Linked DNA regions of Schizosaccharomyces pombe. The main gene of each other region encodes a partner of the protein of the gene in region 4 in a complex. Each region holds a gene or a part of one and is shown on either strand. Other genes may lie near its edges. The genes, in order: mrpl10, mrpl33, rml2 and mrpl12.

What was found.
Region 1: mrpl12 (region 4) and mrpl10 share a complex: the UniProt entries of both Schizosaccharomyces pombe proteins name them as parts of the mitochondrial large ribosomal subunit.
Region 2: mrpl12 (region 4) and mrpl33 share a complex: the UniProt entries of both Schizosaccharomyces pombe proteins name them as parts of the mitochondrial large ribosomal subunit.
Region 3: mrpl12 (region 4) and rml2 share a complex: the UniProt entries of both Schizosaccharomyces pombe proteins name them as parts of the mitochondrial large ribosomal subunit.

Annotation. Positions count from the first base shown.
Region 1 is NC_003423.3:1,820,687-1,824,544, reverse strand, and holds mrpl10 (mitochondrial 54S ribosomal protein uL15m), read right to left. Parts: upstream 1,643-3,858; 5' UTR 1,610-1,642; coding exon 845-1,609; 3' UTR 588-844; downstream 1-587. Other genes in the region: U6 snRNP-associated protein Lsm3, read left to right, coding at 1,872-1,889, 1,931-2,023, 2,094-2,111, 2,166-2,280, 2,382-2,419; translation elongation factor EF-Tu Tuf1, read left to right, coding at 3,136-3,270, 3,322-3,858. UniProt on the Schizosaccharomyces pombe protein: Component of the mitochondrial ribosome (mitoribosome), a dedicated translation machinery responsible for the synthesis of mitochondrial genome-encoded proteins, including at least some of the essential transmembrane subunits of the mitochondrial respiratory chain.
Region 2 is NC_003421.2:2,221,203-2,224,539, forward strand, and holds mrpl33 (mitochondrial 54S ribosomal protein uL30m), read right to left. Parts: upstream 1,381-3,337; 5' UTR 1,370-1,380; coding exon 1,320-1,369; intron 1,265-1,319; coding exon 1,021-1,264; 3' UTR 1,002-1,020; downstream 1-1,001. Other genes in the region: SPOM_SPCC1919.07 (uncharacterized protein), read left to right, coding at 381-1,001; tif6 (translation initiation factor-like ribosome biogenesis protein), read left to right, coding at 1,952-1,986, 2,041-2,112, 2,428-3,055. UniProt on the Schizosaccharomyces pombe protein: Component of the mitochondrial ribosome (mitoribosome), a dedicated translation machinery responsible for the synthesis of mitochondrial genome-encoded proteins, including at least some of the essential transmembrane subunits of the mitochondrial respiratory chain.
Region 3 is NC_003421.2:694,124-698,485, reverse strand, and holds rml2 (mitochondrial 54S ribosomal protein uL2m), read right to left. Parts: upstream 2,575-4,362; 5' UTR 2,565-2,574; coding exon 2,403-2,564; exon of another isoform or gene 2,379-2,402; intron 2,330-2,378; coding exon 1,403-2,329; 3' UTR 1,004-1,402; downstream 1-1,003. Other genes in the region: RNA cap binding protein cbc3, read left to right, coding at 87-306, 359-611, 734-881; transcription factor TFIIIC subunit Sfc4, read left to right, coding at 3,641-4,362. UniProt on the Schizosaccharomyces pombe protein: Component of the mitochondrial ribosome (mitoribosome), a dedicated translation machinery responsible for the synthesis of mitochondrial genome-encoded proteins, including at least some of the essential transmembrane subunits of the mitochondrial respiratory chain.
Region 4 is NC_003421.2:1,158,556-1,162,979, forward strand, and holds mrpl12 (mitochondrial 54S ribosomal protein bL12m), read left to right. Parts: upstream 1-1,900; 5' UTR 1,901-1,954; coding exon 1,955-1,989; intron 1,990-2,038; coding exon 2,039-2,525; 3' UTR 2,526-2,780; coding exon of another isoform or gene 2,781-3,437; 3' UTR 3,438-3,761; downstream 3,762-4,424. Other genes in the region: ipk1 (inositol 1,3,4,5,6-pentakisphosphate (IP5) kinase), read left to right, coding at 1-1,571; Lsk1 complex gamma subunit lsg1, read right to left, coding at 2,781-3,437; protein Nro1, read right to left, coding at 4,314-4,424. UniProt on the Schizosaccharomyces pombe protein: Component of the mitochondrial ribosome (mitoribosome), a dedicated translation machinery responsible for the synthesis of mitochondrial genome-encoded proteins, including at least some of the essential transmembrane subunits of the mitochondrial respiratory chain.

The DNA.
Region 1 (3,858 bases), on a different chromosome or scaffold from region 4:
AGTGTTGAAGCAGTTCTTAGCATCGTTCCTTCCATACTGCGTTTTAGTGCACTAATTGGAGAGTTGATAAATGTCCCTTTCTAATATATGAAATAAGGAGTTTCCCAGTCAATATGTATTATTTTTTTTAGAATTGACCGTTTATGTAGATTAATTGATCATAAGGTTAATGTACTACTATGGTTCGCTTACACTTCTATTACAAATGCCGGTTTTCTTAGTCATTCTTATATATAAGTCTTTAACCGTTCCATTGATCAACAAATGTTCTTTTTCTTCTTCCTTGCATGCCTTTGAAAAGGAGATCCTTTGAAAGATCTTTTCCTGTTGGATAGACAATCGGAGGATGAAAAAATTTTAAGAAAGCTTTAAACAAAAAAAGGCAAAAGATAATAATTTAACAAACAGTCGGCAGGGGTTCTTGATTATACAAAAAAAGTGCATGACTGCGAATGCTCAAATCTACTAATGAAGCAAATGAATAAATGTGAGAAAGGGTTTATCTGACAGAGAATGAACTGACTACAACAAGGGGATTTGGGGGATAAAGAAGGAAGCTATATTTTCGAATGAGAAAGGTATTCAAAATATTACTAATGGGTATTGAACTGTAAGCGAAAAAGTCAGTAGAGAGCTCAAACACCGAAATTGGAAACGTAATTATACAAATGTACTAAGAAAAGGATGCAGATATTTCCTTACAAAACTCAACATGTAACCCATCCAAGAAAGTAAAGGAGGCTGCACGGAATCATCAATAGACATAACAAAGTTTTAAGGACATATTAGGAAAGCGGGATTTTTGATGAACATATATCAAGTTCTGATGTAATATGGGAACTACTTATTTATCTTTAACAATCGGTTCGTAGGGGAATCGTTGGTCGCCATAATATAGCTCTCGAATATTTTTAACGTTGGCAAGATACCCTGCAAAATGTGGATTTGTGTAGTAGCGTATGTCTTTCTTTGAAACTGGAAGGGGAGGGCGAGGAGGTGTACGAAAACTTGAAGGATGCAAATGGGCACGTAGCGCCAACGGGCTGAAATATACTGTTGTTATACTGCCGCCTGCATTTTTGATTTGTTGTATAGCTTGAACTGTAGCCTTAGAAACTTCTATGGAAATTGCTGTTTTAAGGAGTCCAGGTTCGTCAGCAGTAAGTTCAACTCCATGTTTAATACCTCTACAGCATCTACTATCGAGGAGGTCTTTCATAGTAATTGTCTTGCTAGCATCCAATCTACCACGATCAATCCATTCCTGAACTCTCCCTAACCCCAGACGCAACGGTTTCTTCAAATGTCCCGTACTGTGACCAACTTTAGGAAATAATTTGGTGATAGGAGTTTGACCACCTTCAAAACCAGGTTTAATTCTCCGTCCACGCCTTTGACCAGATCCTTTATGACCACGTCCAGAGGTTTTTCCTAAACCGCTCGCAGGGCCTCTACCCACTCGCTTCTTTGACTGATAATTTGCACTGTTGTTTAAATCATTCAACATACTGATGCCGCGGAAACTAGCACCAAATCTTGGATAACCAGAGGATCTCAAAAAACCATGAAATGAAGAACTGCGACAAACCCGAGATAAAATATTAAACATTTTCCAATTCAAAAAACGGGTTTCGTCGAGTTTAGATGGTAATAAGTCCAAGGCTGCTGTTTACTATTACAAAAGATTCGGACACACACGAATACGTAAAATTCTATAGCGTCTCATAAAAATATCTTTATTACTATATTCAGCATCGCTGCACTGCGCAATTCGAATTTGTTTCCTCCTTTATTTCTTCCTGACATATGCCAGTGCATAATTGCAGCAACAGCGATCTTGCTTGGTAGATATAATAACCCTTTACTTTATAATGGAATCGGCACAGGCAGTAAGATTTATCAACAGTAACTCGGTAACTAATGTTTGTAGGTCGCGGAACCTCTTGATTTGGTGAGGCTTTCTTTGGATGAAATCGTTTATGTAAAATTACGGGGAGATAGAGAATTAAATGGCCGTCTTCATGTATGAAATTTTTTTAACGTTTCTTGAATATTTTTCTTATTCTGAATTGGTTATACTAACTCGATTGTAGGCCTATGATGAACATTTGGTATGAATCATATTCATAACTCGCATTTGGATGGATTACTTACACGTATTTTAGAATATGGTACTAGGAGATGCTGAAGAAATTGTAACTATTTTTGATGATGAAGAGACCGATAAGGACAAGGCCTTAAAAACGATTCGCAAACATTATGAGATGCTCTTTGTTCGTGGTACGTAGATTCTAAATATTACGCTCGAAAAGTTTGACCATGATTAAGCTTTCCTTTTCGAAACTGTTTTTCCTTTTTCGCCAAATGCTAATGAACTTTAGGTGATTCGGTTATTTTGATTGCTCCACCTCGTAATTAAAGGAACGAATAAAATTACTATACAAAGCTATCTACATATTTTTATCTCATTCTTTTGTTTAAAATTTTTCGCTTTAGAGGTGCTTCTTCGTACAATAGTAACGACTTTTGATTTGAGTATTCTATATTACAGAAAAGTTTGATTTTCCTTTATTCCGTTGGATGGATAGTTTTATCTTTCTTTAGTCACGCACCACTTCTTGTTATTCCTTACATCCTTTTACTTAATAAAAGCAAAAGACTCTTCGAAGTTAACCAACATTCACGAGACGCTGAGCTTTGTCATTGAGACTTTTCATTAATGGTTTTATTCTTTGTACTTGACAGGATAGTAAGCGATTTTTGCTTGCATGGTGGTTGCTCTTGCGATCTAGCAAAATCAGATTGACATTCCTTTAGAGATCAGAGACATAATACCATTCATTGTGCAAATAAAAAAAAACTATCAATTGCTTTCGATTTGGCGGTGTTGTTCACTAGTTCATCTAGTATTTTTTTATTATTAACAAGCGTATCATCATATATAGGCGTAGCGGTAAAATAGAACAAAATAAAATAAATTCTACAAATATTGATTGTATCCAAACACCCAGGACCATTTATTTCATGAAATGCTCGTGTCAATAGTATTCTCATAACGATGCGCACCGCTGAGACTTATTTCAAGGACAACACGAGCGCCAGAGACCTCTCCTCTGCCTACACGCTCCCTTCGTTATGAATTCAGCTAAAGCTACCTCTCTCCTCTTTCAAGGCTTTAGAAAAAATTGCTTGCGATTGAACCGCATTTCTTTCGCTTCAGGTTTGATTAACCGGTTCACCGTCCCAGCTCGAACTTATGCTGACGAAAAGGTATTTTTTTTTCATTCTTCATCTTTTTGATTACTTGTTAACTTTTTTAAGGTGTTCGTTAGAAAAAAGCCGCATGTCAATATTGGTACTATTGGTCATGTTGACCACGGTAAAACGACGTTGACGGCTGCTATTACTAAATGCCTTTCTGATCTTGGTCAAGCTAGTTTTATGGATTATAGTCAAATTGACAAGGCCCCCGAGGAAAAGGCACGTGGTATTACCATTTCATCTGCCCATGTTGAATACGAAACTGCTAATCGTCACTATGCCCATGTGGATTGTCCTGGTCACGCCGATTACATTAAGAATATGATTACTGGTGCTGCTACAATGGATGGCGCTATCATTGTTGTTTCTGCTACCGATGGTCAAATGCCTCAAACTCGTGAACATTTGCTTCTGGCTCGTCAAGTCGGTGTAAAGCAAATTGTTGTATACATCAATAAAGTCGATATGGTCGAGCCTGATATGATCGAGCTTGTCGAAATGGAAATGCGTGAGCTACTCTCCGAATACGGATTTGATGGTGACAATACTCCAATTGTTAGCGGCAGTGCTTTATGTGCCTTAGAGGGTCGTGAGCCT
Region 2 (3,337 bases), 1.1 Mb from region 4:
AAAATTCTAAACTTTTGGTTACGAAAAACGATCTAGGTTCCTTCGATCACCCAGGTCTGCTGAACTCTGGTAGATAAACTATCTTGAAGAAGCTTCCCCAGAAACCTGTCTATTATACATTCAAGTAATGTACAATCATTGAAAAGTTTTTTTTTAGTGTTCAGTCGAGTGCGAATTTTTATTAAAAAGCGCTAAGCAAGTTTGGCTTAAAAAAAAAAAAAAAGGATTCTTCTTTATTATTGCTTCAAATTTTATTATACTCGAGTCGTTAAAAATATAAACCACTACGAGAAAAGAAAAAAATTGACCAACATTGTAAAAAAACTTATTGTCTTATAGGGTACAGGTTCCTCCTTGCCTCTTCAGACACGACGTCCCATATGGTAGTACAAGATAAATGGAAGAGAAAAGCGACATTAGCGTATAAAAAAAAGCATGACATTCATGATGCACCTGTAAAACCTCGTAAAAAAAATTTGGGAAATAACGAATGGAGATTTAAAAATGCAGGGGAATACTTTGATGAAGATAACAATGAGGAAGAATATCCAAGTTTGGAAAGTTTGAAGACCGTGGGGAATGGAGATACAATTCAAGATGAAGAAGAAGATTTCGAGTATTCAAAACTACAAGCACGGCCCCTTACTGGTTTGGGAATTAGCAACCAAAAACCCAAGTCCAAAGTTCGGACTATCCAACGTGAAGAAGTAGCCGACATGTTGGAGAGCGTTGAGCATGAAAAGTCAATTCAAGAATTCCGTAAGCGTTATAATGTACAAAAGCCAAAGGTAAACATTAGCCATGCTGAAGCGGAAGAAGATATTGATTCTTTTCTTGAAAGTATGGATCAGTCTGCTCCGCCTTCCATTACAGAAGATAAAGGGGAAAATTACATTTCTTCTAATCATTCCAGCATGCATATTTCAAGAAACGACTCTAGGAACTATATGTCTGAAAAGCCAAACAAAGACCAAAGTTGGTTAGATGAACTATTACGATAAATATAACTAGAATGAAAATTTAACTTTCAAACATGTTATTCAATTCTTTTAAACCGTTATTGTATCGATGTATCACTGTAAATCCGCTACTAGAAGCAAGAGACTTCTTTTCTTGCCCAGCGGCTAACTTTTGTTTCACAGTACTGACACTAACGAGTTCTTTTACTTTAAAAATTCTTCCCGCATTGATTGGATTTACATCGCAATAGACTACGGAGTGTCTTTTTGTTAACCTCAAAGAATGCAAAACGCTGCGCACCTTACTAAAATATTGGTTAGCAATTACAAGCATGTTTTTCTCGTTTCCAAAACACGTACCTCGAGAGCCCGATGGCTGACCTTTCTAAACGAACTCGAAAGAATGACATTATGGTAAACTAGAAGTTCGTGGAGTCCGTTTAACACTAAATATTGAAACTCTTTTAGTTCAACCGATAAAATACAATTCATATCGCAAGCTCGTTATTGTTCACTATTATTCACTACGTTGCTATCTATTTAACGATACATTGAATTACGATGAATTTTTTGCGATCCACATTTAGTGGAATGCAGTATATTAACTACAATGTTATATTTATTGTTATAAGAAGTCTATTAGTGTAAGTCACCGATATGGTTAAAAAATGGAGAGGAGCGATTTACAGTAACATCTATAATTATCATCTTTCTAGTAGTTGTAATCACATGGTGTCTATGAGTATAGACGACTACTTATCTGTTTACTGTCAATAAACGGATCTTTACTAATATTCCAACATGTAACATATAGTGATACGCAACCTAGTAAATCATTAGTGTAATGCAGTATTACCGATATATCACAAAAAATTATGTTAATTGGTATTACGTGTCTGCTTCACAATGCTAATATCATATTAACGATGTTCAATGGATTATTATTTTTAAGATGTGAAATTTGGCTGGGATAAAACTTTTTCTTTACCAAAATGGCACTTCGTGCTCAATTCGAGAATTCTAATGAGTAAGTTTACTCAGCTTTTTTGCTTAATAGACGCATGATATTAACAAATTATAGGATTGGTGTCTTTTCTAATCTCACAAACTCATACGCACTTGTAGCGCTTGGAGGCTCTGAAAACTTCTACAGGTAAGCTTAACGTTTATTTGATGCCAAAATTTAATGTTCTAAATGTAAACGATTCAAAATTTTTTTAAAGGTTCTTAAAATCCTTAACCAGTCGAACGTATTATGAGAAAAATAAATAGCACATATGTGAATGATGTAGCCTAACTACTCTTTAATTGAGTAAAAGAGACTTTGCTACATAAATGCAAACCACTACTTAAACTCTGGCGGTTTGCTGTTCATTACCTTTATTATTCCTTGACTCGATGCAGCTCGACAAATTATTTTTTTTGGCATTTTTTACATTTATCAACTTTTCACTAACTTTTATAACAGCGTGTTCGAGGCAGAGTTAGGTGATGTTGTACCCGTTGTTCATACCACAATTGGAGGAACCAGAATCATTGGTCGTTTGACATGTGGTAATAGAAAAGGTCTGTTAGTTCCCTCTTCTACCACCGATAATGAACTACAGCACCTCCGCAATTCTCTTCCAGATCCTGTCAAAATCCAACGTGTTGATGAACGACTTTCAGCTCTAGGAAACATTGTGGCTTGCAACGACTATGTGGCCCTTGTTCATCCTGATATTGAGCGTGAAACCGAGGAAATTATTGCTGATGTCTTAGATGTTGAAGTTTTCCGTCAAACCGTTGCAGGCAATGTTTTAACCGGTTCGTATTGTGCATTGAGCAATCAAGGTGCTTTGGTTCACCCTCGTACTAGCATTCAGGAACAGGATGAATTGTCATCACTTCTTCAAGTTCCTCTTGTTGCCGGTACCATCAACCGTGGTTCCGATGTTATCGGTGCTGGTCTAGTTGTGAACGACTGGTGTGCGTTTGCTGGACTTGATACTACGGCTACTGAATTGGCTGTCTGTGAATCTATATTTAAACTTCAAGATGCTCAACCTTCTGCTATTATAAGCAACAGAGACACTCTTGTTGAGTCTTATACATAAGCAGTCGGTGTGAGCTAACTAAAAAATTATTGATCAGGATTTATGAGTTTGGATAATTCATCCTACGTGATATTTTCCTATTAAAGTTTTAATGTTGATACGTTATACGTATGTATCTGGTTATAAAATTTTTGATATGCCTTTCGGTTTAATAGTCCTATCCATTGTGGTACCCAAGCTTCCTATTGTAGAAATTTACAATACAAGTTTTTTATAGACCATTATAACACTTAAGGGACTTCCGTAATCGTGTTTATTTTTATTATGTCAAATAGATTTTGA
Region 3 (4,362 bases), 460 kb from region 4:
TAGCGCGTCGTAATTTTCTTTGGACGGCACATTCACTCTTTTGGAAACTGCATGTCTGCGAAGCAGTTGTAGAGAAGTAGATTTAAATGGATATCGTTGCAGAGACTCAGATTGAAGAAGAATCATTGATACCCGACGCCACTAGTACTCCATTAGAAACGGAAGTGGTGGCTGATACTACATTGCGTAAAACAGCTTTACATCTAGCTGGCGTCGATAATCTTTCAGAAGAACAAGTCAAAGGATTTATTTCAGCTTATGCTCCTGAATCTCAATGTACAATTGAATGGATTAATGATAACGAATGTAAGAAGCGAAAACTGGCAAAGGGTTAGTCTAACTCTATAACCGCGTATAGGCAACGTTGTTTATGCGGATGATGATGTTTCACGAAATGCTTTATTTCATTTAATTATGGAGTCTCCGACAGAATTTTCAGAGGAATTGGAATATCAAACGAAACCACACCCAACTGTACCGACGTGTCAATTCAAAATACGTTACGCCCGCTACGGAGACAAGAAGGTTAAAAGCGCACATCTTTACTCGAGATATTATCTGTTTCACGGTGATCCTCGAGAAGAAAAGGCTCAGAAGAGCAAATCTAAAAGGTATAACTTGTGAAAACCAAATTAGTCCGGGTGCACTCATACTTTTCAAAAATCATTTCCTCTACTTTTGAGAATCTCCTTTTACTCAATTTTATATTCAAATTACTAACACTTTCGCACAGTAGAAATCAAGATGAAAGGGGTTCGCCATTAGATGAACGACTAGGTCCTAAAGTGTCTGACCTTACACTGATGGAAAGAATATTCCAAGTTCGACGCAAGCCACGCAAATCAAGGAGAGACCGTCGTTCCAGGGTTTCCAAGCGTTAATTGTGTTGTAGAGAAATATTAAATACCCAGTTTATCCGCTTTTAAGTCGCTTTTCGCTGGACGAAGGCAAGAAAAAATTAATATGCTAAATTAGCTACAATTTTATAAATAAAATTTTTTTATTTAGTTGGCCATATTAAAATAAAACCGTTCTTTTCTGCGTTTAATAGAATACTCTTTTGGTACCTGAATGATATCGATAACCCTTTTAAGGTAGATGTAAGCAAACGACAATTTTGAATGGGATAGTCCTTAGCTTTAAGCAACGTTGTGATGAACAAAAATTACCAATACAGATTTAAATTGTAAGAGCTAAACTCTTAAAAAATGCTTAAAATTTTTCGTCGATAAATGACGGTCGACACAAAATAACTATACATAAATGCATCTGGTCCACAAATGGATAGGTAATAGCATCGACTATTAAAATGGAGAAGGGATCATGAAAATTGAAATGCATTACGGTAATGTAAAACATAGAAATGTAAAAGTCATGAAGACAGAGATCATTAATAAAATGATTACCGCTTTTCCTTTCCACGAGGACGATCGCGGACGAGTAATTTATTAACATTTTTACCTCTTCTTGTTTTGTATCCACCTTTAGCCAAAACACCCCAAGGAGATTGAGAAGGTTTATTACCAATGCTTTTACCACCACCACCACCATGTGGATGGTCACATGGATTCATAGCTGTACCTCGAACCGTAGGACGAATGCCAAGCCAACGTGAACGACCGGCTTTACCAAGCTGGCGATGTTGCCAATAAATATTGCTTACAACACCAATGGTAGCAAATGATGTATCCAAAATCTTTCTCTCTTCACCACTTTGTAGACGAACGATAGCATATTTACCATCAAAAGCTATGATACGAGCGCTACTGCCAGCAGAACGACATAGCTTTGCCTTTTGATTTGGATTTACACCAATGGCATGAATGACAGTTCCTATAGGAATTAATCTGAGAGGAAAACAATTTCCTGGCTTCAAATTTTTTGCTGCAAAAGTTCCATCTTCAATTTCAGCAGCTAGGACGGGGTCCATTTCTACTGGCTCGCCATTAGAACCAGTCTTCAAAAGCGATCGAAAGCTCTCAACTGTATCGCCTTCGCGAAGCCCGTCACAAGCCAAAATATAACTTTTGTTGGCTGTTTCGGAATTCAATTTTTCAACAAGGGCAATGTGACCACTTCTACCAGGGTCATACTCAATTCTAATCACTCGATGAACACCCGGTACTTTTCTTTCAAAGTCAACAAGACGAATACGTTGTTTGTGTCCACCACCCTGATGCCTTACAGTAATTCTTCCTGTTTCATTTCTTCCACCTTTTTTTCTTTTTGCAACGGTCAAAGGTCGAAAAGGTTTCCCTTTCCAAAGGTAATCACTAACTGGTCTTTTTAAATGACGAAGACCAGGAGATATAGGTTTGTAAGTTTTAATCTTGATAAGAATTAGTAAAAAATGAATTAAGGCTTGATAAATAAAAAGTAACCCTCGTGTTAATATTACATACCTCGAACTTCGTTTTTGGTCGTAGAAGCATCCCTACATCGTAGGGTCTCTCGGAAGATTCAATTTTTTCACCGCTTGTAGATGCGGTAGAGGCATATCTGAACAGCTTTAACGCATGAATTTGAGGAATCAAATACCCCCGAAATCGATTATAACTCAACATGGGGATTTCCAACTAAACCTATGGTAAGAACTCACAATATGATGGACTGCGAATTAACGAGTTCAATCATAATTTGCGACGCTCAGTGCTAAAATCTTTACACAATCCAAGGTGTCGTTAACTGTGTAAATAAATGAACATTGATCTAGGGAATACAACATAGAGGAAATTGAACACATTAGCTATAATAATGAAGAACTTTGTTTTATTGTTTGATCATCTGTGTAGTAAATATTTTATACATTGTAAACCCGATTCTATACGTTTGAAAGTAATGGCAGGTCAACTGAGAATTTCAACCACGTTATAATATATTGGAAATTTTGATAAATTGAATTTGCTTTTCCTTCGAGTTGAGCAAAGTTAAACTAGAATTTACGACACCTGTAATAAGCCTGCTGAGCATGAAGAGTTTAAGGGATTCAAGGTATCAGGAAAACATTGCTTTCTCACAAAACTCTTCTCACATTCCTTTTTGGATGTGTGCTTAATTAATTACTAAATAAGTTCACATACCAAAAAAATCTTATTTAATATACAGTTTCAACGAAAAGTTTCAACTATGGAAATTTGTTTTGTTAACTCGTTCATTTTCGTTTCAAAACAATTCGAAGATGGGGTTGATCTGCGTTTGTTTAATATAGCTTATTAGTTTGCTTATGAAAGGTTTCGATACTATACTCTGTGTACACTGACAAAGGTCAATCAACATGAAAAGCCTTGAGATGCCATTTTCCAAAAAAAAAAGTGAAAAACACTATTTGATTGACTAGGATCTTCCAAATTCTTACAGATATTAGGTATTTTGACAACATCAAAATTGTCAAGTTTGCAATTCAAAAATGTTGCAAGTAAAATAACTGGTGTCAGGAAAAAAGGACTAATATTTATTGACTTCATATTAATTAGTCAATTGTAGAACAAGATATGTGGTACCCATGACCTCTTTGTTTATTGAGTACTTCTATAATGACTTACTTCAACTTTGCCTTCACCAACGCCAACGCGAAAACAGCCAACTTCAAGTAGGCAAAAGGAACAGACCGATTTGAAAGCATGATTGAGCATCTTAAAGGATGATTCAAAATGGTGGAAATAGCTATGTGGATTCCAATATGAATGAAACGCAAAATGATACAACTGACAACTTTGATGCTGAAATGCAAGATCTAAACGGGTATATAAGCGAAATTGTCGATGAGGCTAGGAATGTATCTGAAGTTGATGCAAAATTTTTGGGAGATACCTCTGCCCTTCAAGCTGAGGGCCTTTGGTCAGACGAAGAGTCAGATTATGAAGGCAGTGACGATGAATCAAACTTTAGTAAAACAGCCTCAAGAACCGAGGACGACATTGCGAACGAGGAATGGGAAGAAAATTTAAAGGCAGTTGCTGGATTTAGAAAAGTCCGTAAAGGTCATAAAGGTCGAGGACGTGTTAGTCGAGCTGATATGCTTCCCTCGGTGGAAGTGCAACAAATGTTGAGTTTAGCGAATCATTTGTTTGCGCAAGAAGGAAACTTCGACGAAGCCCAAAAATTAGCTGAAGAGATTGTTCGTATTGATAATAATGTCATTGCGGCTTGGAAAATGCTTGGTGAATGTCATCGTCAAAGGGGTAATGGAAGAGTAAATATTGAAAAGTGCTTAATTGCTTGGATGGCGGCTGCACATTTAAAGCCGAAAGATCATGAACTTTGGTTCACCTGTGCGAAACTCAGCGAAAGCTTAGAGTTTTGGGATCAAGCAGATTATTGTTACAACAGAGCCGTCTCTGCGAAACCTCCAAATAAGTCGGA
Region 4 (4,424 bases):
GCAAGGAGGTCAAAGGCTATGTAAAGAAGGCAGTTGAAATGATTAAAAGAAGAGATAAAAAAGTAAAAGAACTTGAAAAAATTCAAAAAGAATTATTGGTTGTTTACGAATTGCCTGATCCTGAAACCAAAAAAAGTAAAATTAAAGCATTACAAAGCCAGCTTGTCCGTGTCAATGGTGAATTGGATGACCTTCAGAAGCATTTAACTTTGTCCTTCCCAACTCTTATTGCAAAAAGTCGTGTTTTTTTTGGACAACTTATGAAGCATTTTTACTGCTTGCAACTTCAAATGTTTCGAAAAATGCACAACATTGTTCGCCCTTGGGATTGTTTTCAAGACGATATTCCCCAAACGTGGCTCGTTGAGTTTTCCTCAGTTTGCCAGGCTGCTGAAAGCATTTCCTTAATTGCCGTAAACAACAACCGTCCTCCCGTAGAACTTCCAAAATCTGGTGATGTTTTATCAAATAGAGAGTGGGAAGCTGGAAAAATTGATGCCATGAATTCTCTCATCGCTCAGAATTTGCATACTTCAGCGTCTCAGGTAAGCCTTTCGCCTATGGCTAGTACCGCTAGCTCTTCTGTTACAAATTCTCCCGTTGACACACATACTCCTTCAACTCCAATTATGTCGCGTCCTCCATCCATGAAAGCCCTTTCTTCTGGTGTAGAGTCCCAAGATGAATCGGTTGCTAGTAGTAATTTTCAAGTTCCAATTATATCGAATCCGCTTTTTAAATCCCCTGCACCTTATTCACCAACATCCGTTATCTCCAATCATTCCTCCACCGGTAAATCCCTGGTGATTTCTGAATGGGCATACCTTGCCTCAGGAAGTGCGAATGTGGTGTTTGAGTATGTTGGTAAAAATCCTTACTTTCAAGACAAGGTAATTCGTCTTCGACGTCGAGGACAGGTTTTTACTACAGAACAAGTTTATGAATACTATCAAAATGTAATTTATCCTTTGTTTGCTGGAATGGAAAGCTTTTTAATTGAGGTTTTTTTGCAGCCAGTTACTAGGGATTTTTTGCTGGCGGCCCAAAATGCTTCTGGTATTTATTTAAATTTAAATGAGCAATACTGTTTGGTAATGAAAGATCTCAAAGATGGAATTGAAATGAAACCAAAATGGTTGACTCAGTCCCCTGCCGCTCCACCTGACTGGGTTGTTTGTCGAACGTGTGCCCTTAGCCGTATGCGTGGTAGACCCGTTGGTTTTTGTCCTCTACAGCTTGATTTCAACAATTGGCCCAAGTTTTTGTGCTGTCTTCAAGGATTTGTGAGTCCTGATATCGCAATGAGATTGTTTCAGTCTGGTATACTACGGAAGCTTCGTGACCTACAAGAGCAATACTCTCGTACTGATGTTGCGTTAGCGATGACCCTTCGAGATGTGACTTTATACATTGGTAAAGATCACATAACATTACTAGATTTAGATCCTAAAGACATGAATACCAAAATGTCTAAATGGGAACGTGATGAAAGGAATTTGATTGAAGGCGGTTGGTACTATGGTCGTGGGATGAAGTCTACTGACAAAGCATGCCGGAGCAGCATAAAGTAATTATCTCATTGTTAATTTTTTTTCTAATATGTAATACCACCATCAATTTGTGGATTTATTGCAATATTTCAATACATTATGCATTTTTGTTTTATTTGTTATATGCCTGATAATTAACAGGGAGATAAAAGCATAAAAATAAAGGGTTAGATTTATTTGTTCTCTTCAACTAACTGTTGAACACTTAATAATTCTAGAGCATTTTTTACTACGAGGTTAGTTTATTTTCTAATTATTACTAATGAAAAATTAATAAGATCCATTGAACATATTTTAGATATTTGATGAATGATCACCTAAAAGTTGTAGTTACTATACTTAACTTGCCAACCCCCATCTCACTTGCACCTTACTTCACCTCAAGTATAATTTTAAAATACAGCATGTTTCGCATCGCATCACGCCAAACAAGAAATCTGTAAGATTGTAATTATTTTTAATTAACAAATTTATACTAACTTTAAAAGACGTGCTTTATCTTCCAGTAAGAACTGGGCAAGATCGTTGGTAAACACGCGATCATTTCGAGCTGCCGCATCTGTACAAAACAATAATGCCCAAATTGGGGAAATGGTTGACAAAATAAGCTCTCTATCATTGTTAGAGACGTCTGAACTTGTAAAGCAATTAAAGGAGAAGTTAAACATTGCTGAAATAGCTCCGATGGCAGCAGTGGCTCCAGCAGTAGCTTCAGCCGCTCCTTCTGAAGAGAAAGCTCCTGAGGAAAAGAAAGAGGAAAAAACCACCTGGAATTTGAAACTCGAATCGTTTGATGCTGGTTCGAAAGCCAAGGTGATCAAAGAGGTGAAGTCTCTTTTGGGATTATCTCTTGTGGACGCAAAGAAATTCGTTGAAAGTGCTCCAAAGGTTTTGAAAGAAAATATTTTGAAAGAGGATGCTGAAGCTATAAAATCGAAGTTAGAGAAACTTTCTTGTAAAGTAGTCCTCGAATAAACTGGGTTGTTTATAAAAAATTTCATTTCTATGCTTTTCCGCCATTCAAATTCTTTGGGCAACCTTTTTGTTATTGCTTTGACATTGTGACACGATTTACTTTCTTGGATTCCCATAAAAACTAAGCTACGGAGGGAAAATTCATCATCTCTAAAAAAACCAGATATTAGGTAATGTATAAAATACTCCAAAATTATTAGTTAATTATATGTTTTTATTCTATTTGGGTTACACTCTATGTTTTCGCTCTTCGGTTCAGGAAGTTGCATGAAGACATTCATTAAACTTTTCGTATTCATCCTTTAGGGATTCCAAATCGCTTTCAGTAATTCCTTGGGTAGTGTTCCATGCAATTTCCGCTTCTAACTCTGGTTCTGAAATAGCCCAAATGTTTTCACGCATTCTTTTGTGTCGCTCTCTGTCTTCTTCAATCCTCTTAAGAATGTCGTTTTTTGAAATGGCTCCTGAAGTACTGGTATCACCTGACTTGCTCGCTTGTTCATGGGCTTCTACCGTAGCCATAGCATCTTTATATTGATTATCATCGATTACCTTCTTTTCATGCAAAGACTGGAGTACTTTTCTAACCTCTGGAGCGTTAGCAGCTCCAGCAGCTCCTATAGGAGCTACGTTCTGGACTAGCTTACAGATATCTCTACTAATCATATTAAGATATCCACCTGTAAGGCCATTTTTTAAGCACATCTCACAGAGTGTGTCCACAAAGTACATGATATTCACTCTTGTATTGAACGAACCTGACTCTAGTTCCTCCCATATACATGAATATAAGTCTTCTTCCAAGTCTAGATGCTTAATTGCAAATTGCGCGGGTTTAATTTGAGAGAATTGCGATGCATTCAATTTTCCCAAAAGCTGTAGAAATGTCATGCGGCCCTCAAATGGATCCATTTTATTATTGCAAGTATATTGGTAATTGCGAGTGCAACAACGATTTTTGTTATGATGGTTTTTCTTATACTTCGTGAACTTTGAATTCCAAAAACATCAAGAATAATTTTTTAAATAATAATAATGTGTGTTGTCTTAAATTTCAAATATAGAATAAACTTCCTTTGCCAAGTGTTCATCTATTCTTGAAGCTGCAATCTCTGAAATTTGAGACTAAAAAAAGCGTTGGGATACTATTTTGCGAAAGGACGTTGAACCTTTCCAGATTCAAATAAATTAAAATATACTCAGTGCATAAGTAATATTAAGAGGTCTTCAAACTGTTAGCATGTTGCAAAATCTGTTGCTTTAAGTAGCATGTTACTTTATTTCAAACACTATTACTGTACCTTTAAAGAAACTAAAATCTCATTTTATTAAATACTACTTTTTTAGTAATTTCAACAGCGAAATAGTAAATTTTCAAAGATATTTTTATATAGCCCTGATAAAGTTATAACCATTCACCAAACTGTTAGGATCTCTGAGTATAAATAGCGGGAAAGAATAACTACTATACTTTAATAAAAGCACAAAAACCGACCTTACTTATATGGTAAAATGAAACCCATGAATCAGTAAACAATTTTTATTTTTTTATACGCTCTACTAAGTCGTACATACAAAATCAACATTTCCTTTCAATAAAGAACTGCTTTGAAATCTAAAATGGCCAGCGACAAACTTATAAGGTTTGCCTAAAAAGTAAATATAATGGAGAAAAATACTCTCGAAAAGAGAAAAAAAATGCAGGATGTATTGTTCAAGGAGAAAAATATAACAACGGGATAATGATATAATGGAAATACACCCGTCAAGTTGCAAGTAAAAGCGATCCTAAGCAGAATAAGCTTCTACAAACTCAACATAATCAGGACTTAACTCAACACCTGATCCTTGAGCCTCCTTGATAGCATTGCAAGCTTCCTTCAAGTAATTATCCTGACT